Drosophila melanogaster: one gene and its partners. The gene in region 1 interacts genetically with each later gene. Each region holds a gene or a part of one and is shown on either strand. Other genes may lie near its edges.

Region 1 (4,756 bases):
ATGTATCAAATCAATAATGAGCGTAGTGTTGTTTGAATGTGCCACATTTCCTATAAAAAGGCTACATTCCCCGTTTTCGATTTCCAGACTACGCCCCTGGTGGCAGGCAAGGAATCTAGTGGTGGATCGCTTGAGTGAGTAATACCCCCTCCCCGCCCTCTTTCACCAACGGACAGCCGACGCCAGTGCATATGCAAAGATCTGTGCGGCAGCATCAGCTGTCAGCGAGAAAGAGACGGACGATGGTGGGGGGGAACGATTGGTAAGGGGGAACGATTGGTAAGGGGGAACGAACGGGAGAGCGCCGCAAATTAACAGCCCAAATACGCTTGTGTTTGTGTATGTGTGTGGCCCATGCGACTATTTCCATTTTGTTGCTGGCATTTCTTGCGCTCCTTATCGACGACAAAAGTGGCGCCGCCGGCATGACGGCAACAACATAAAAAACAGCACAGCAGCGACGAACAGCAACAAAATTACGAGTCAGCCCCACAAGCACGCTCACCAACACCAACACACCGCATCAAACACACTCGCGCTCTCTCGCTCACTCATACATACAGAATGCTTGCGTGCAGAGTAAAAAAAAGGCAGGGCGGCGGGCGTGCGAGCGAGAGGGAAATGCCTGGCGCCACTGACGTAATAAAAGAAATAATAGTAACGATGTCGGCGGCAGAGGCGTCGTCGGAATGGCGCCACACCAACACACGCTCACCTTAGACAGACACACGGACAGGGACGAGCGACGCGACGGTCGGTTTGTCAGCCGGTTTGACAAGTTGAAGAATCAACAATTTAAGGTTGAGGTGAGTATGAAATAATCTACCGCAGCCGTGGTTCAAAAGAGTACGTACCACCAGAGAGTGCGAGTGTGGTGGGAATTAGAATTGAAGGCGCTCTCGAAACTCTTCTGAAAAGTCATCAAGTCGAGAACTTAGCGTTCTTAAAGTCTAGCTTTGAATTAGAACTTATCAGAATGCATCTGAGTTTTTCAATCGGAAACAAAAAAAGGTATGTTTTAAACAGTAGCATTATCTTATGAGACCAATCTTAGGACTTTACTTATTTTGTCAAGAACAGAAACATAATTAATAATAGGAATCAATTTATAAGATCCTTCATTCCCTCCACATAAACCGTATAACTGCACGATTAATATTTGTCAATAATAAAAAATGCAATGCGAAAGCGACAGAAATAAATTATTTACATATGGACATACATCTAAAATTATTTATGATGTGCGATGTATGCACCACAGTTTTTAGCTTCAAAATTGCAAAGTAATTGATACCACCGTACTTTTGCTTTCAAATATTTACCAATCTTGAGTCAGCCGGAACAAAAACCCTTCCACATTTAAAACTATGAAAGATGTGTAATCCAGTGAACAATAGAGAGAGCTGTTTACGTTCATAAAATTCAGTATTTAGAGCAAGTCCAATACAAAAAAAAAAAATTGCACATCAACACTTCAAAAGCCATATATCGCACATTTAACAATCAATTGAAAACAGTCTATACTCAAGAATTTTTATTCAAACCCGCTGAGTGATTATTTTTTCCAAATTCACGTTTACAAATTTATATGTATATTTATATATACATACGTAGTTATGGACTTTCTGATAATGAAAGCATGAGTAATTGTAAGTCCAATTGGAAACTATAGCGATTTGGTAACAGATATTCGCGACTCGGTATTATATAAAATATAAAATTATCTTCGAAACCGCATCAGAAAATATTGAATATGAAAACTTAAATAACGCTAATGAGTGATAAGCATTTGTTTGTTGACTTAGCTATTTTGCATAATCACGAGTGCACCTCTTCAAATCGGCTTGATTTTGAGTTCTAAGGAGTGGAAATAGGTACTTACTGTTTAAAATTTTTTGTTAGGTGGTTTCCGTTTAATCCTTTCCTTATGTAGTATTACTTTTTGATATGTGTAGGTGTATTTGATATGTTTAGAGGTTCACTTGATAATTTGTATTTACATTTACTGCAGAAGAAACAAACTATTAGCAACGAATTTGAATTTGTTTAACACGTGCCGACGGGTTTTTGTTATTGGATTGGTAACCGCAGTCGATTTTTTCTTTTTTTGCTGCTGGTCAGTCACTTTTTCCTATGCATGTGTACGTTTGTGTGGATTTAATAAGGTGCGAGTAATGTGTTGATTTCGGTTGAATATTATGTTGAAGTAGCCGAATGCCGGAAAACAATAACAATTTTTAACGTGGTGGAAAAGGTGTTTTTTGTTGGCTTGCGATTTGCGCTCTGCTTTGATTCTGCCGGCGTCGCTACCACCGCTATATACGTATACGTTTGTTTGTTTGTATGGGCCAGTGCAGGTACAATGTGTGTACGTGGCTGGCGAACAATTGCATTTCTTTTCTTGCTGTTATTTGCTCAGTTAAAGCTTGAACACACTTATTATTTGGCCCGCATTTTCCCCCCGATGCTCATTGATTTTTAATTCGCACACGAACACAACCACAAAACACACGCACGCAAACGAGATCGAAGATCCGTTATCCGGGCGGAGAATTCTCGCTCTTTCTTTGCACACACAAACACAAACAAATGCATAGAATTCATAACAGCAAGCAGCAAAAATAAAAGATTTTCGCCTGACGATTTCCAATCCCCTTCGATTCTCACTTCAATTGATTTGCCTGCTGCACTCACACTTTTTCTATGTATTTCCTCCTTCACATTTCAGTTCTAGAGCGCACAACAACTTCACTGCACTTGTTTGTTGTTTACGACGCCCGCGTTTACAACAACAAAAACAAAACCCGTAAATGTTGCGAAAAAAGAGTCGGGGAAAGGCGAAAAAGTCCGATATTTAGGAACTGCGTTTTTTTGTCATTTAATTAACCCAAAAATCATTTAGCAGTCTCGAACACAAATAACGTTATTTCGGAAAATTTCTCGTGGCAATACGTCAAGTATCCATCTTTTCGTTGATATCTTTCGGATTTGGATTTCTCGAACGGCAAAAGAACACACAAGCGACGCGGTTGAAAATTGTTGGGGCAATGAGCGAAGCGCTAACTGTGCGGATTGATAGTCTTTGGAGCTGTGGGGAATAAACGTGGGAGAAACGCCTGAGAGAGCGCCTGGGAGAGGGAGGTTTAGAGAGAGAGAGAAAAATTAAGAGACCAAGAAATTGTAAAATTAGAATCATACATAAAGTTCCCGTTCTAACAATGTATAAGAACTTCAGTTTTATTATTAATTAGAAAAGACTTGTTAAAATATCTTCATATTTTTCACATTCCCATTCCTACTACAAGTGCTAAACCAAAGAATCCAAGACATCTGAGAGTGGAGAGCATCCGTTGGATGGCTACTATGGCGTGGTGAGTTTCGTTTCGCTTCCGCGGACAGATACAACCTGCGCACGCACACCCACACTCGCTTCATGCTGGCAGTGCCGTTGGAAATAGTGTTGGCTAACGCGGTAATTTCAAAAATTGATAAGTTTTCCTAGACAAATTATGTGGGAAATACTAAGCTGTCCTATAATATAGGAGAAATCTATAACTATATGTTTATAATTGAAAAGCCGTGTTCAGTATGAGCATTTTATAATTTAAGTTAAAAAAAGATTAATGTACCTTAAAATTTTATTTAAGATGTCTTAAAAGGTAAATGCTTAAAAGGCATACAAGGTTTAATTAATTCGAATCAAATTAAAAACTCTCAGTACATATTAGCCCCTGTTAAATACGTCTGTTGAAGTTGCCAAAAAACTCAACTCCCTCGATGCTGTCGAGAGCGGAGAACCTGAGGAAGCAACATCGACATTTAGCGCGGTCTTGGTTGCCGCAAAATGTGATGAATGGTTGTGATCAAGGGCATATCAGTTGCATTGCCTTGCCCATGTCTGCCAAACACACGGACGCACACACGCCCATACAAAGTGGCGCCCCTGCAGCGGCCCTACACACACAGAAACACACTTAAAGCGCGCAGCGAGGATCGCATACCGCACTGCGAGAAAAGTCGATGGAATTATCTATGCTAAAATTTTTTACAGTCGTTATTACTATAACTAATTCTCTAAATAATAATAAATATAAGTTTACCTTTAGTTCATCTATGACATACAGTACAGTGCAATACAGTGGCAACGTCGAATTTAGTTATTGTAGTTTATTGTAATTTAAAACCGGTATTACTTAAACGTGTAAGGAACACAAGATCACGTCCAGATTTTTCACAGTGCCAAGCAGACGCTCCAACAGGAACCCTGGTTCGTCAGTTCCAGTAGAAATACATAATTGTCTCTCGTTTGGACGACTCGAAAACACAAAAGCAAATAGGCTCCCGTCATTACGATAATAATAGGTCGGGAACAGGGAACACAGGCCACTTGTGGAGTGAAACCGGCAACCGGCGATGTTGGCAGGAGGAATTTGATCGCGTCGTGAGCGTTAAATAAGCGAGAGTCGGGCCCCTGACTTGCCCCGTGGAGGGGCATGGGTATTAACTCCGGAAAGGACGGCGGCAGGAGTTTGAATACATTATTTTCTTATGAGGCCAGAGACATTCCGCAAATGCTAAACAAATAATACGACAGCGAGGAGTAGCGTCCCACAAAGCATCTTATTTAAAGGGCCTCAATTATTCAGCAGTGCCTTTGTTATGGTTAACCCTTTTCTTAGAATATAAAAATATTGCAACTCTACTAAGCCAATTGCTCTTAAGCATAATATTGGGAAAAAGGTATTTCGAATGTATA
Region 2 (3,846 bases), on another chromosome or scaffold:
AAATTCGTCAATGGTGTATTTATGTTGCAGGAATACTTCCGAAACAACATTCCGGTGTTTGAAATCTTGTAAGTGCAATCCAAGTTGCGGAGAATACTCCAGTCTAATGTGCTCTCCTTTCAGAGATGCGTGTGTGTCGTTGAATGTGCAGACACCGGTGTTTGATGGCCGCCTGATGTCGGCGCTAATTGACAAGCGTGTCGGCAACTTGATTATGGAATTGTTTGCCTTCCGCCACCACTGGATTCACAAGCGATAAAGCCCGCTTCCTCGCGCATATTGCCTGCTTCCCTACTAATTGAGTCCTAAAATAATTAAGAATGATCCAAAGAAGCGTGCCGAAGTCCAAATAGGACTTGATTGTGCCTTTTATTGCTGTGAAATGACTGTTAATTTTAAATGAGAGCTAACCAGAATCAAAATACGTACTTTTAGTACCACATTGCGTCTATCATCGTTGTTTTGAAATATTTGAAATTTGTGCATCCCAATCATGAGTAGATGTGAGACAATAAAGAAGAAGTATCTTTTAATACTAGCCACAAATGAAACTCCTCAAGAGACGAACTTCAGTTAGGTACAGCGCTGTATATTTTTGTATAAAAATATTCGAGATTAGTACAGAGATGGACATCTACACAGAAATGCTTTATATATATAGTGCTATAGTGCTTAGCCTAAGTGGTAAATTGAATTCAATGGCACCCGCAGGATTTCACAATCATGTTTCTATACTTTTTCAGGTTCACATTCTCGTCGTTCAGGTGGTACAGAACGGGTAGTGCTCCCAGCCTGGTCGGAGCGCAGCAGGGCTTGGGCACCTTCTTCGGCTCCAGCAGGTGGACCAGGGTCTGGACGATCGCATGGTTCGTGGCGTTCATGTGCGCATTGAGCGGGAAATTGCACTCGCCGCTGCAGTAGAAGGCGCCATAGCCCTCTGGTGCGATGATCCAGTCATGCCAGCCCAGATCCTTGAAGTCTATGTACAGGGTCTGCATCTGGCAGCTGCGCGTGCTCTCCATCGGTTCCAGCAGCGGCACGTTGTTGGGCGACACCGACTTCTTGCGCTTGCGTGGATGGCTGGCGCTTCGCTTGCTCCTGTGGTGGCTGCTGTGGGCCGTCGCCTTGATCAGCTCCGGTCCGCGGAAGAAGCCGATCATGAAGGGCTGGAACTCGTCGTCCACCTTGCGGTGGATCAGTCCAATGTCGTCCAGCTTCACCTCGCGGTCGGGTCGGTTGACAGCGTGTGCTCCAATGTAGATGCCATGATTGTCCTTCGACTTGACCAGCCACTCGTGCAGGCCCTCGGTCACGTTGAGCTCCAACCAGCCCACGTAGTCCCCGGTGGTGTTCACCGAGGACAGCGGCTCCATGGTGTGCTGGCCCAGCGTGCCGGTGCCAATGGCGTATACCGTGATGGTGAACTCCCTGTTGGCGGTCAGCCACTTGCCCTCGTTGGCGTTCTGATAGATGCGCAGCTCGGCCATCACCAGGTAGTTGTCGTTGGGCACGTTGGAGACGTCGAACCACAGGCGACGGCCGTGCTCGTGACGCAGTTCGTCCACATTGTGGTGGCGCTTGTTCAGGAAGGTCATGATGATGTCGCTCTCGTCGATGGCCCGCTTGTCCAGGTCGGTGATGAAGTTCTTCTGCTGCTCGCCCTCATCCTCCTCGAGGTCGGCGCTCCTCCTGGACCGATGGCCGCGTTCGTAGTCGTCGTCCTCATCCTGATCGCTGAGACCCTCCTCCGCCGTGATGCGGTGGTAGACGTCCAGCAGGAACTTGGGAGCCGACTTCCTCAGCGACAACTGGTGGCTGCTCAGGTGCGTCGGCCGTTCGGCGATGCCCAGGAACTCGAGGATCTCGTACGAGACGTCCAGCTTGTCGTCCTCGCTCAGCACTCTGTGCATGATCGTCTGGTCCTTGCCGTTGTCTATGTAAATCCCCGACTGGGTGGCCTCAACGGCCGGCGGCGTGGTCGCCACGAACATGAGCAGAACCATTCCGAGTCCCAGGGAGGCGAGCACTGCAACGGCCTCCGAGGTGTTTCGCAGTCCCGACATTATTTCGTGTTTTGGACGGATCGGTTGCGATCGCTGTTTTTCTATATCTACGGCGCTATCCACTTGCGATAGCTTCAGATGTACAGTGGCATTTAGTTGTTTATTTCGAGAGTTCCAGCGAACCGCGGGTTCTGAAAATTCTGACGCACTTACGGATTGTTGTGTGTATCTTAATCTTCAAGATGCATTTTCTTTCTATTTCGCGGGAGTTGGCAGTCCCGCGACTTGGAAAATGAATCGGTCTTGAAGATCGAACTAGAAGATCCAACATAGTAGTTCATTTCAGCTGCGATCGTGAGCAAATATGTGGTTTAATAGCTTCAAAAAAAAAAAGAAGAAACTGTGTAAATGTAGAAAATATAACGTTTATATTGGCAAAGTTCGTAATATTTTGATATTTTAAACTATTTATGGAAGTGGTATTGACGAAAGATTTGTAATTATGAATTTGTTAAATTTATCATAGTCCGGGCATAATTTGAAATATAATATAGGTAATGCTATTAAAAAATATTAATTAATATATATACATAGTTCATATTCAAAAGGAAACAGATCGATTTAAACATTCGGTATGCGATATACATAGGATACATTTTTATCGAAGATAAAATCGACCATCAATCGATATCCGATAGGTGGCCATGTTTTGCCCTTGCATCGCATCCCTCGCATCATCATCCGCATTCTGCATTCCTCATTCCGTTTCGGCGTCGCGGCGAGATAACGCGCGTTGTTTATTTGGTTTTAGTTTTAAGTTAGCGCGTTTTTACCCACCGCCGGTGTCGCCCAAATAATGCTAGACACAGCCTAGTGCAACGGTAAGCGGGATGCGTGCGGTGCAATTGGAGTACATGGAGTCTAACATCCGCTCAAATCCACTGCAGGCAAACCATCATCAATCACTCAAACCGCCACACAAGCAGAGACCGAAACGGAGCCATGGGCCGCAGCCGAAGTCCCGCCTCGCCGGCGCACAGGAGACGCGAGAAGGAGCGATCCGAGCGGAAGAAGCGCAGGGAGCGCCGTTCCCGGGAGCGGGAGGCCATCGGAGTAGCGCCAGCCGGAGGATCCGGATCTGGAGGCGCCGGTCGCCGCGACCGGGAACGGGATCGCGACCGCAGTCGCAGCCGAGATCGGGAGCGGGAACGGGAGCGCGACCGTGCGCGGAGTCGGCGATCTAGGTGAATAAGAAAGTGTAGTGTACCAAATGCCAACCACGATAAGTATAAAACTAGTCACTAAAATCGGGGATGTGGGTCACAGTTCAGGGGCGTGCTGGATAACCGTGAAATGGGGTTTAAATAGCAACCAATATTTATAAGTTTAGGATAAGCTTAGGGAGTGTTTGTGTAGATTTAGGAACACATTCCAACACAGGGGACAATTGACCCCTCAAACCCCCGAAATCGCCGTTCAGAACTTGTTTATTTACCCACGAGTATCGATAGACCCACACTTCGATAGGCAGCCAATCGATGGCTATGCAGCTCTGGCGTCCCAACATCAAAAAAAAATTACCACGTGAAGCGAAATTGTGCGAATTTCATCACGACATTTAAATTGATTTCCGGACATATAAACAGAATCCAGAACTCATCCGGCAGCAGGCTCAGTCAGGCCAGTAAATCCGAAAAGAGAGTAACCAGCAGGAAAAGAGGATCCACGTAAATACAGAGAAAATGGCTCTACGCGTCCAATTCGAGAACAACGACGACATCGGCGTCTTCACTAAACTAACCAACACATACTGCCTGGTGGCCATCGGTGGATCCGAGACCTT
Region 3 (6,116 bases), on another chromosome or scaffold:
CTTTACGAGTATATGTAGTTCTGATGCACTTGGCGCGAACTTTCATTGAGTGGTTCCATTGATCACAGTCCATTCATTTCCTCTGGGTTTCTGGGCACAGGTAGACAAGCAGGTGGGGATCGGAATCGGAATCGGGATCGGGATCGGTTTCGGTATCGAGGGGAACTGGGAGCCTGACGTGCTAATAGTTTGACGCCGCTGGAGATCATAAAACCCATGACCCATGGAGGAGCCATAAAGACGCATCCAAGGCGCAGCAGAAAGCGAATCCGCAGAAAGTGGGTCAAGGGAATTGGAGTAATTGACTCCCCCAGGTATAGGGATTCAATGTACGCGAAAGTGTTGGCCACATAAGATAGGTTGGTTGATAGGTTTTTGATGGTAAAAGATATAAAAATATATAGAATTGAATTCGATATTCGGGTATTTCAATTTTGAAATATAAGATAAAAACGTTGAACCTCAAAATGGGAAGTACGAAGTTCTTTTCCATCATAAATTTAAGTATATCCAAATGGATATATGTATACCATTTATTCCCAAAAATGAAATGCAATCCAGATTTATTTTCAAATTCAATTCAGTTTATTGTTCGCTTTATTCCGCTGCTGGCTTAGTCATATGTCGGTCGGTTCTATAAATACGAAAATCGATTTCTAAGGGCGAGCTTAGGACTACGAAGGCATGGATGCGGCCACATGCCACCCCAATGCGATCTATATATAATATATATGTACAATTAGGTTAAATACGAACTAGTCAAGCACTATATCACAGATGTCGAAACACAAGCTAGCCTACGAAAAAAAAAAAATGTGTGTGTGTGTGCCTTAGGATCAAAGTTTAGCCTAAAGGATATGGATATGGAATTATGATCATGAATGCCATGGGTTAGCTTAGCCTACTGGGGGTCACATAGTACTCGATGCGGGTGCGGAATGGGCTACAAAGCGGGCGTGGCGAATAATACTTTCCAGTGGGTGGTGGTTGGCGGTTGCTCTTATGTGACTAGAACGGCAACTGCAGATTGTGGTTTCGTATGCTATATAACTATATCTCTCTCTCTATTTCTCTCTCTCTCCCTCTCTCTCACTCTCGACGAATGTCAATAAATACGGAATGTGGTAATACTTGCAATGAATTCGAGAACAGAGACTATGTGCTGTCAATCAAATAATTTACTTAAGCTACTATCGATCAATTAACGGTTAAATTAAGGATTTGAGGCTAGGGGTTTGTAGAACAGAGGAAAGGGGCGAGTCCTGAGGTAAGGGGAAATGGAAAGATATGGGAATGTTGTGTATGCTATTTCACGTGCGCTGCACGCGCTTCGACTGGCGCTTTCCACGTCTGCCACGTGCAAATTGGTTGCTTCCACCACCGGAAACACCTGCAACATCTGCAACTCCAGCAGCACCACCGGCCACTGGCTTGGATACCTCGTTGAACTCCTTGCCATTCAAGGTGGAGCTGCGCCAACGCTGCTCCAGTTGATCCGCCAGCTGCTGCTGCTGCTGTAGCAACTTTTTCTGGCTCCTCTGCTGCTTCTTGTGGTGCTTCCGTGGCCGACTCCTTACCCGCTTGCCATCCCGCCGCAGCAGCTGGTACATGGTGCGCAAAAAGTCGTAGTAGTGGTGCTTCACAAAGCGCATATCGATCGAGTCCGCCTCGCCCGCCGCCATGGATGCACTGGAAGCAGCACCACCCATACCGGGCCCACTCGTCTTGGAGCGCAGCTTCAAACGCTTGTTCATCTCGAGACGCGAGATCTGTGGCAGCTGCTGACCCAGCATGGTGGTGCCGCCAACTGCTGTGACCGCCGCACCACTGCGCCGCTGCTTCTGGCGCGGACTCTGCGTCTGGTTGACGGCTGTCTCCAGCTCGCAGAGGATGCGCCGCGAGCTCAGGAGCAGCTCGCGCAGCTCGCGGGCGGTGCTGGACTCGCGGGTGATGGACCGCTGATCCCAGCGGATCTGCTGGCGCCTCAGATACGCAAAGCTGGCCACGTAAGTTTGCATGTTGCGGTACCAGCGCTTTAGGGCAATCTGTGGAAGAAATCAAAAAGATGGAGACAATTGTGAGCTATTTTCAAGATACATAGATACAAAGTTGATAACGAGATAATTGAGCTATTTTCAAGATACATAGATACAAAGTTGATAACGAGATGGATTTAGTAACTAGTTTTGACAACTAAGTTAATAGATAAAAAGTATGACTGTAGGATTGCTTACCGTGGAATTGGGCTTGAGCTTGGGCAGGAACTTGTAGTTGTGCGTGTGGAGGGACCACATGGTCATGTTGCGGATATCTATGGCCGAGTCCTGGCTACTGTTTAGGCTGCGGTACTCCCGAAAGGCGTGGCGCTTCAGCTGATTGAAGCTCTGTGGAGAAGCAGATAAAATGGGGAGCGGATTACATATGGATCGGGTCCAAAGAGCGCTGCCGTTTGAACTCACCTGCCTGGGACGCTGGCGATTGAAGCGATCACCCGCCGAGGGATGATAGTTGCCACCGCAGGGATTGGCCCACTCCAGGGCGGTGGTGTTCTCGTCGAAGTTGCGATAGTCGATCCAGTTGCTGTTCCGCTTTCTGTGGCGCTTGCGCGGACTAGCGGCGCTGGCAGGGATCGTGCCCTGATTGGGATGCTGAGCTGAAGCCGTACTGGAGGTGGTGCGAATGCGCAGGCGCTCGCTATCGATAACCGTTAGACCGCCGCTGCTGGTGGTGCTGCGCCCCTCGGCGAGGTGGGGCAACTGGGCGGCAAGGAGCAGGACGAGTAGGATGGGCAGGAGCAGGAGCAGCGGACGAGCCATCGCCGCATGGTAGCCACTTTCTCTTCTGCGCCGGAATCCGTTACCGCTACCGCTACCGCTTCCGCTGATGTTTCCGTTTCCGTTGCCGGCTGCCGTGGTGCTGTTTTTAGCTGTGGTCGCAGCGCACTGCCAACCAACTACTGTCCGCGGTCCGTATCGAAATCAGTGTGCAGATACAGCGAACGGGGTTACAATATATATATATAGGATATATGTGAAGGGTGGGGATGGGGGGTCAGAAGGGAAGAGATGTGGAGAAAAAACACTATGAGTATCGAGAATGCAAAAGTAAATTCAATTTTCTGCTACAACGCGCGACGACCAACGATCAACTGCTATCACTGTTCCTCCCTGACTAGATGGTTAACTAACTGGACTCCCTTGGGAGTGGATGGGTTACTGGGTGGGATTGGGTGGTCGGGTGCTTCGATGCTGGAGCTCTGAGGTGATCGGGATTACGGGTCGGATGATCGGCCGAGCCTCCTTCAATGCGAATGCAACTGCAACCAGACAACAGTCTCAACAATTTGGTTCGATTTTTTTAACATTTTCTCTATGTTTGTTTTGCGGTTTTTTTTGCTTTTCGTTGTTTTTTTTTTTTTGTCTTTTCCAGAGCGATATGTGTGTATATTGAGGGCGGGGAAACTTTTTAATTTAGACAATTAACTCGAGAGTAGCCTGAGCGAATAACGAAGACGTATCGATCCAAGTTTCGAGGATCTAATCTTCTCCAGGCGACAAATCTCTGCCTTCTGGCTTGGCTTGGCTTTAACTTCCAGTGTGTGAAAGTGTATGGAAACTTTTGAGGTTGAATTTTGGATTTGGGGCTAATTCTAAAATTTGAACATTTCAAATTCTCCATTCAAGTTAGCTACTTTATCTGACAGGATTAAAATTCGAGACTGAAGATCGTTTGCTGCTAAAAACGAACGGAAAGGATTCGCACAAGTAACAATATCCTGAATGGATTTGCATTTTAATGCAGAGCGAATTAATTAAACTATATAATTTAATCCTAATTCCCAAAATTGCAGTTGCTGTCACAGAATGTCCTTTTTGCTTAACAGTAGATCGTTGGTCGTTTCTTGTTGATAAGTCACTTGAAGAGTGGAGAATTGATATTGACCAAAATATCCTTTTCGATCGCTTCTCCACTCTCCAATTGTGCCTGCTCTTAAGTCTTGATCAAATTAAAAATAATACACACACCGCATTATAGATGAAAAATGGAATCGTTCAGGATCCTCGCGGGATCCCCGTGGTTTGTGCTGCGCCTGAGCTCCCAAAAGTCTGTACGTTAATCCAAATGTTCGATGATCGTTCGAGATTCGTTGTTCGTTGATTTTCCGGCGGTTTTCAATGGACACACTTGCAGCACAACACTCGCAAAAAAATGTATTTATATATAATATTTGTGAGACCACTTGACCACAGATCGAGTTCAAATCCGTGCTTCAGTTTGTGTTCTGATTTGGTGATTTCGATGCTTTGGAGACTGATTCGCGGACACTTCTGCTCGCGTTCGAGTGTGAAACCGAACTGAGCCCAAAGTCGCGCTGGATTTGACCAGCTTTCTTCGCTGAGAGGCTGCGGATACCAGATACCAGAATACCAGAGCGATACCGACCGACCACCGACCAACCGACCGACCGATGAGCAGCGCCAAAAGGCCGAAACCGAAACTGAAATGGGAACTGAGGCGAGCTGAGCGGCCTCTGCCGGCGTCGCTGCCCGCCGAGTGCCGACGAGCGGTACGCCATGGTCCGAGCCAGAAGAAGACCGCCGATTCGGACCGATCAGATTCAGATCCGAAGAACCGCAGGCTGTCCCGCTCCCGCGCCCGCTCTCACCGATCGTATTCGGGGTATCCTATTCCCAGGTCACCTGCACGTGTGTGCGTATGCGCCTACCTGGCCGAAGTGTGTATTGGTGCCGTCTTTGAGCCTGCCAACCGGCTGTCCTCGCGCGCCATCCCGCTCGCTCCTGCGGACCAGGGCGATCTTGGGCCGGTCGCCATTGCAACTGGAATTTTCCCACTTGCCCAATCCGCGTCACTCACTCAAAGAGCGGGAAAAGAAGAGAGGCAGCCTACCTGGTGCCCCAAAAGACCAGGCCTACCTGGCTCTGTCTCACTCTTCTAAGCCCGGTCAGCTAGGTCCTCTCTCTCTCTCCCTCTCTCAAACTCTCTGGGTGACCTTGAGCGGCCTGCTCACCCCTCCCAAAAAGTCCTGACATTCAAATCGGTCTAGAAAGTGATCAACGGAAATGACCAACATAACACCGCTATTCAGCTCGCTAATCCAGGTAAACTATCCATTCGAGAACTATCCACGAGGAACGTTAACCAATATTACATTTTCTTCAACTTTTTCTAACAACTAGTAAATTGCTATATATTTTGTATATTAAAATTAATTTAGTAATTATAAGGAATAAAGCGTAAAATAGGATAAAGCACTAAGGAATCAACCAATTGTGCAGTTACAATTCTTCTCAATACCAGTAGTAATATATATAATAATACATAATATATACATTTTTATAGTAATATTATTTATACGTGTTCGAACCACAATCAATATAACTGAAGTAGTGATTTTGGCACTCACAATCTATTATATATGTATATACCATTCAAATTCATTTGACATGATTCAAGTTGTTTAAATGAAGTTAATAATATACATATATATGCCTAAATCTGTTCGTATGGGTAATTAATTAATAAAGATTTACATAAAAATCGTAAAACATTAAGTTGTTTCATCATTTTTTGATACATTTATAACTCACCTCAAATTATTTATTTTGATAATCGCAGCGCTGATATTTGACCATCTCGATGAGTTCGGCTTGATATTGTCGCAATTCCGCTTTGGGTGGGTAACTAGAAGAAGAGTGTGAAATCTCTGGCCAGTGGGCCAGGTACTCCCAACTGGCGAACCCCCGGACGCCCATCTACCTAGGACATCCCTATGTCAAATATGCCCATATTTCTCCCTACTTTCGAGGGCTTGCACAATTGACGGTCTAATTAAATTGAGAGTTTTGCTGCATTATGGCCGCATTGTTTTGGGCAGCCGAAAACAGCTGTAGATGGTCAGATAGCGGGCCGAAACGGACAGCGGACGGTGTGTCCTTGCGTCTAACCGTAAGTGCAGCGTGCAGCAACTGCTGCAGGAAGCAGTTGTGTTGCGCAGCGGGGCCACTCGCCTTTATTTCGCCGCAAGGCAGGACGGACGCACAGGACTCGAATCTCGCAGGACCCACAACCCACAGAGAGGGACTCGCTCGCATATA
Region 4 (5,524 bases), on another chromosome or scaffold:
AGTCGCGATGCATTCGACGAACGCATGATTTCGTCGCGCGGAATGCGCGGTCCATCGCCGCCGGGTCGCAGATATGCGCCCTACTGAGATGAGTTTTACTATCACGGCAGCAGCTGAGTAGCGGTTGCACTACCCATGCCCCTGCCAATGGGTCACACATTCTACCACACGACCAGCAATCGAAGAACGGCGCCTGTGGACTGCTGGCTGCTCTGCTGGTCGCCAGCGGCGGCCTACTACCATCACCACCAAGCACACCAGCAGCACATGCTGATGCCGACGACAATTTCACAACTGTGGCTGCCGCCTTGGTAAACCACATACATGTTACTAAACCCAAACTAACCATTACTCGTACACTTAAACAAGAAGATGGAAATACGTGTTTAAGCATCCTCCCTATATGCAAAACACGCCAAAAAAAAAAAAGAACTAGACAACGACGTGCAACCTCTACACATTCAACCGTAGTACCAATAAACGCATAATCAGTCGAAACTGTGCAAAAATAAACACTGTATTTTAAAGCTAGTTTAAGGGGCAGTATTGCAACGATGTGTCTTAGATCTACGGATGCTCCATAGCCAGCCGTCGTTACGCATGTGAAATCGAGTGCTGGCTGCCGTGCTTGCCCAAAATGGGCTGATCAGGAGACAGATCTTCCGGTGGGCTACCATTGTGCGTGTCCGGTGAGTGGTCGTCCAGCAGCTTGCTACCATTGTGCTTGTTCAGTTCTTTCAGCTCGACAGGTGTGGTCTTTTCGAATGTTGGCGGGATTAGTAATCGACTGAAAAGATAACATGTTATTTATTGTGGGGAACCGCCTTAAAAACGAATAGTATTTCAGCTTACTTGCTGCACTGTAGCCAAAACATGGAGACCAGCATCATGGCCGAAGTAACGCCGAAGGTCCAGAACGTACCTAGGCGCGTGTAGATGGATCCCACGAAGACTGGACCAAGGACGCGGGACAGACAACCCGAACCGGTCATCCAGCCCATCCAGACGCCCTGCGGCCGAGGTCCCAGAACTTTGGAGAATATGGTCTGGATGAGAGTCACCCCAATGGGATATCCTATCGATGTGAAGGCAAATCCAATGATGAACTGCGTTAAGGTCAAGGCCGGCAGTTCGCCGCACCATTTCTGCGTTGTGGGGCAGCCCAAGAAGATGGGATCGCTTTCGCTTAGGTTCCAGCTGGCATTGAATGGCTGCGCCAACTTTGGCGGATCCGGACCCCAAGGCACGAAGAGCACGCGACCGAGAAACATCAGCGAGAATCCGCCCCAGATGAGCACATAACGCTCGGCTATAATCTTGCACATGGGCTCAATCAAAACGAACGTGACCAGGGAGACAATAGCTGCGGTGGTCATCATGATGCCCATGTACCATAGGGCCTCGTCGTTGGACCAAGCGAACATATCCATTGTCAGGGATGTGCCCAGACTGCAAGGCGAGGAAGCAATAGTTTAAAAAAAAAAAAACCCACTCTGAGGATTACTCACGTCTCCAACAGCACAAAGTTGAATACCAGAACAAAGAAGGCGACGATCAAAGTCCATGCGGATAAATAGCTGGGCTTGATGCCTTTCCAAGTCTCCTTCTCGGATGTGCCGCCCTGCATCACCATCACCTCGCGAGCTGCAATTTTGTGCTCCTGAAGGAGTGTTCAAATTTAATGACACTTTAGAGCGAACCAAGTAACCTGGCCACTCACCTCAAACACTCCGGGCAGGAACATCATGAAGTTTCCAATGCTCATCAGCACATTGATCCATCCGGATGCCGTGTACATGTTGAAGTGCATCTTGCCCCACAGCCAGACGTGTCCCTGATCTCCCAGCGGTGTGACTGCCGCCTGCAGAGTTGGACCAATGATGAATCCAAGGACCTGTGCCAGCGAAACCATTGCAACGGCATGTGTGCGTTCGCTGATTCGTGTCGCAGCGGACAAATAGGAGCGGCACAGGGCAATATTCGCCGAGCTGACACCGATGAGGAACCGCGAGGAGAGCATCCAGTACTTCACATTGTCCGGACGCAGTTCCAGCGAGGAGTATATGCCACTGGCCAGCGTGAATAGAGACAGCGATAGCAGCAGTGGCAGACGAATCTTGCCCAGCTTGTTGCCCCACCACCCAAAGATCGGACTGAAGATCATTTGTCCCAGCGGATTGGCGGCCACAATCAGTCCCATAAACTCCTTGCCCGCATCGGGATCTAGCTGAAGAGAGATGAGATTGAAAAGCAGCTGGATAGCGTGACCAAAATGGGTACGCACCTTGTTGAGGTAGGGCCAAATGCCTGTGAGTATGATGCTGAAGCCAAGCGCCATCAGAAACATCGTAAAGTAGATGATGCGGACGGAGCGCCAGCGCTGCTTGTACTCCTCCAGCGTCTCCAGGCCATCGTCCACATCCTCCGGCAGTCTTTTGGTTTCAAAGCGAGCGGAAACTCGGCGGGCAAACTCCATAATTGGTTTGCTTGGCTGTGATGTTTGATGGGTTGGTTGGCTGCGATGGATGTGTGTTTGCTGGATTTCACCGCCACTGAGTCATTCTGTAAATGGATTCGAATGAGTTTTTTTTTTCTTTATGGAGCTTTTTGTGAATCGATGTGTCAGTTGTTAGACACGCTTTTAAAGTCTTGTAACTATTAATGATTCAGAGTAGAGTATGTCTCTAATCGGCGGTGCCTTCAATTACTTGAATATGGATGGAGTGGATTATCTGCCAGACGTCGCGTGATTATCCTCCTCCGAAAAAACCACAGATATGGAAAACAGTTTGCTGAACTTATCACACAAATTGCGGAAGATAAAGGCAATCGGTGCCGAAATAAAGCTGTTTGTAGTTATTCGTTGCCATGTGCGGGTGTCTGTATGTCGTTTTTCTTTAGTAAGAGCCACTATCACTGTGAGTATGCCATTGTTTTTGTTTATATGGCATGATAAGGTTCGTACAGAACGTCAGTTTATTACATGATTTCATTTATCAGAGCAAAAGAAATTGATTCGCCCCAGTACAGGGTACGAAATAAAAACATTTTGTTATAACTTTAGTTTTCGATAGTGCAACAAGTGCAGCGATTAGCCATATCAATCAGACTTGTCCACTTCCTACATCAATCAAATCATCACTGGTTGAAGATCACTCCGTCGCAAATCAATTTCTAATTGATTATACCAATTGCCAATTGATGCAGTTGGTTTTTTTTTTTTCTTTTTTTTTTTAGTTGAGCGCCAGATTCTCGTTCTCGAAGTACCCAAACACACACACACACATCTTTCAGATACAAGATACTAGATATGAGATAGCGACCGTTGATCTTTGGCTGCCTATTGTTTTTTTCGTTAAGCTACTTTGCCTTTGCACTCCTTGCTTTGATTTTCAAATTACTTAGCTTACTAAGTTGTATTTTGTTTTTCGTCACACACTGAAGCAAAACTATGTAAATTAAATGGAAACATGCACTCTTTGTTTTTTTTTAAATTACTCTTTCTTTGTCTCACTCTCGCTCTCCCGCTTCCTCTCACTCGATTTTTGTAATATTTAACCAAACGCAAAGAAAGCGCTTTTCTCCCTCTGCCAATGGCTATATCTGTATCTGTATCTGTATCTGCGTGCATGTATCTTTCTGTGCATCTAGAACTCAAGGGCACCCCCCTACCGCGCGCATCCTATTTGTGGGGCTTCCAGCGGGTAATGCACCTTTTACCAATCGGGCTATGTCTTTTTAACTACCTGTTGCAGCGGAACAGCGACGACCACTGGAGATGAACGAACGCGACGGACTGAACTGAACTGACGCGGCAGCGCCTGTTGCCAACAAATCGGACGACGCGTCGCCACAGAGCGTGATGGAGCTGCCCGAAGAGAGAGAGGAGCCAACGGCAGATAGCACCCGCGCCCGAAAGTATGCTACTTAGATACTCCGAAATCTATGGCATCTGTAAGATAGATCGCAAGGGTTTTCTATTCAGGCAAAATATTCCTAAGCATAGTATAGTAACTTGTTATCAATCCACAATCCATGTAACACCAATACTCCTTCTTCAAATTATCATTATTATACTAGATCATCAGTAGAATAGATGTATCTTTGAGATTCGATTCGAGATCCAATTGAAATAATAGGGAAACTGAAGAATGGAGTTCTATAGAAACCTGTCTAACCTACCAAACTTCTACCTGCGTGTGTGAATACTATAATGACTCATTGGAAAACGATCTTTAAGAACGCCTTCATATTGTTACAGGTACATAAAGATCTTACTACTTCAGATACTTTAATTTCGAACGCTTCTATCTTCGCTGCTACTGCAGAACACTATAATGTGCAAATTTATATTTATTTTTGAGAGACCAAAATGCCTTATAAATATACAACAAATGATTATAATAATAAAAGTGAAAGTAAATTGGGTATGTTGGGTCTACAGATTTCCCTGTGCCTGCTGCAAACGCATCAGTCGCCGCTGCCTCAGCCAGGGCAGCAGGAGTCCACCTGGACGCTGGCCGGGAAGTGGAGCTCGTGGGGCAAGGTCCATTGGGGCAGCCAGGGTGACGGCTTCGGGGATGATCTCATTGCGCCGGAAACCACGGAAGGTGGCGCTAGGCCTGCGTGGCACACGATCCTCAGGCTGGCGATCCTTTTTCTGCGGCACATCCTCGTTTCTAATATTCAGGCTAAAGACATCCCCAGTGCGTGGATCGGAGGACAGATGACTGACCGTATCTTGAAGCACCTTGGGTATCCGCTCCACCACCTGCAAGGCATCGCGGAGTGGCCGAATCTCTCGCTCCGGTTGCTTGCGCGACTGCTCCTTGGACGCCTTGCTCTTGGCGCTCTTTCGGAACAAAGGACTCTTCTTGTTCTTCCGCGAGAGTGCATCCTTCTTAAGTGGAGCGGGGCGAGTCAGTCGCGAAGCTGACTGCTCCAGGAACCATGGTTCCCGACGAGCCGGCTCCTCCAGCTCAGCCTGACGCTTGAATGCCGATGGCTTGGCTGATGCACGCTGCTGCTTCTGGGCTCTAGTGCCCAGTGGCGAGGGACGCACCAAGGAACTGGCAAAGTCATTGAACCACTCCAGGTGATCGACGGACCTCTTGTGCCTTATCTGCTCCGAAGCCTTGGATGGCGTTTCTAAGCCATTGGCCGTACGTTGAATGACCAACTTTGTGGAGGGCTTGTAGATGGTTATGTTTGAGCGACGATTTCGAGGCGACTGCATTGAAGTGCTGGCGCTCCTGGCCACCAGATCTCGCTTCTGCTCGAACTGCTGTGCGTTGCGCACAAAGCGATTGCTGCTCGGTCCCTGGATGACGATTTCGAATGGTAGATTCAACGTCTTGGCATTCATCTGCATGGTGCGAATGCACTCAGTATCGGATTGGTCGTCATTACACTCGCACAGGCACTCCTCGCCGCAGTAGAAGCCCAAACAGCCGCAATGCTCACACAGCGCCTTGCAATTCTTCTCGAGCTTCGACTCCGTCAGGGGATTCACATTGCGACTAGC

The links.
Region 2: of Dad (region 1) and gbb, changing one suppresses a phenotype caused by changing the other (phenotypic suppression), as found in Drosophila melanogaster (one study listed by BioGRID).
Region 3: of Dad (region 1) and upd1, changing one enhances a phenotype caused by changing the other (phenotypic enhancement), as found in Drosophila melanogaster (one study listed by BioGRID).
Region 4: of Dad (region 1) and Cln7, changing one suppresses a phenotype caused by changing the other (phenotypic suppression), as found in Drosophila melanogaster (one study listed by BioGRID).

The regions. Positions count from the first base shown.
Region 1 is NT_033777.3:17,052,301-17,057,056, reverse strand, and holds the start of Dad (daughters against dpp), read right to left. Parts: upstream 3,051-4,756; 5' UTR 2,695-3,050; intron 2,161-2,694; exon of another isoform or gene 2,022-2,160; 5' UTR 1,883-2,021; intron 1-1,882.
Region 2 is NT_033778.4:23,849,972-23,853,817, reverse strand, and holds gbb (glass bottom boat), read right to left. Parts: upstream 2,257-3,846; 5' UTR 2,064-2,256; coding exon 696-2,063; 3' UTR 571-695; downstream 1-570. Other genes in the region: bgcn (benign gonial cell neoplasm), read left to right, coding at 1-68, 124-259; eIF6 (eukaryotic translation initiation factor 6), read left to right, coding at 3,746-3,846; ytr (yantar), read left to right, coding at 3,006-3,247. UniProt on the Drosophila melanogaster protein: Required for the growth of imaginal tissues and for patterning of the adult wing.
Region 3 is NC_004354.4:18,304,784-18,310,899, forward strand, and holds upd1 (unpaired 1), read right to left. Parts: upstream 4,509-6,116; 5' UTR 4,026-4,508; intron 3,477-4,025; exon of another isoform or gene 2,954-3,476; 5' UTR 2,817-2,953; coding exon 2,460-2,816; intron 2,385-2,459; coding exon 2,235-2,384; intron 2,046-2,234; coding exon 1,311-2,045; 3' UTR 571-1,310; downstream 1-570.
Region 4 is NT_037436.4:7,341,384-7,346,907, forward strand, and holds Cln7 (Cln7), read right to left. Parts: upstream 3,801-5,524; 5' UTR 3,747-3,800; intron 3,002-3,746; exon of another isoform or gene 2,709-3,001; intron 2,563-2,708; 5' UTR 2,477-2,562; coding exon 2,285-2,476; intron 2,228-2,284; coding exon 1,721-2,227; intron 1,661-1,720; coding exon 1,509-1,660; intron 1,450-1,508; coding exon 853-1,449; intron 788-852; coding exon 595-787; 3' UTR 501-594; downstream 1-500. Other genes in the region: lark, read left to right, coding at 1-87; CG14834 (uncharacterized protein), read right to left, coding at 4,439-5,524.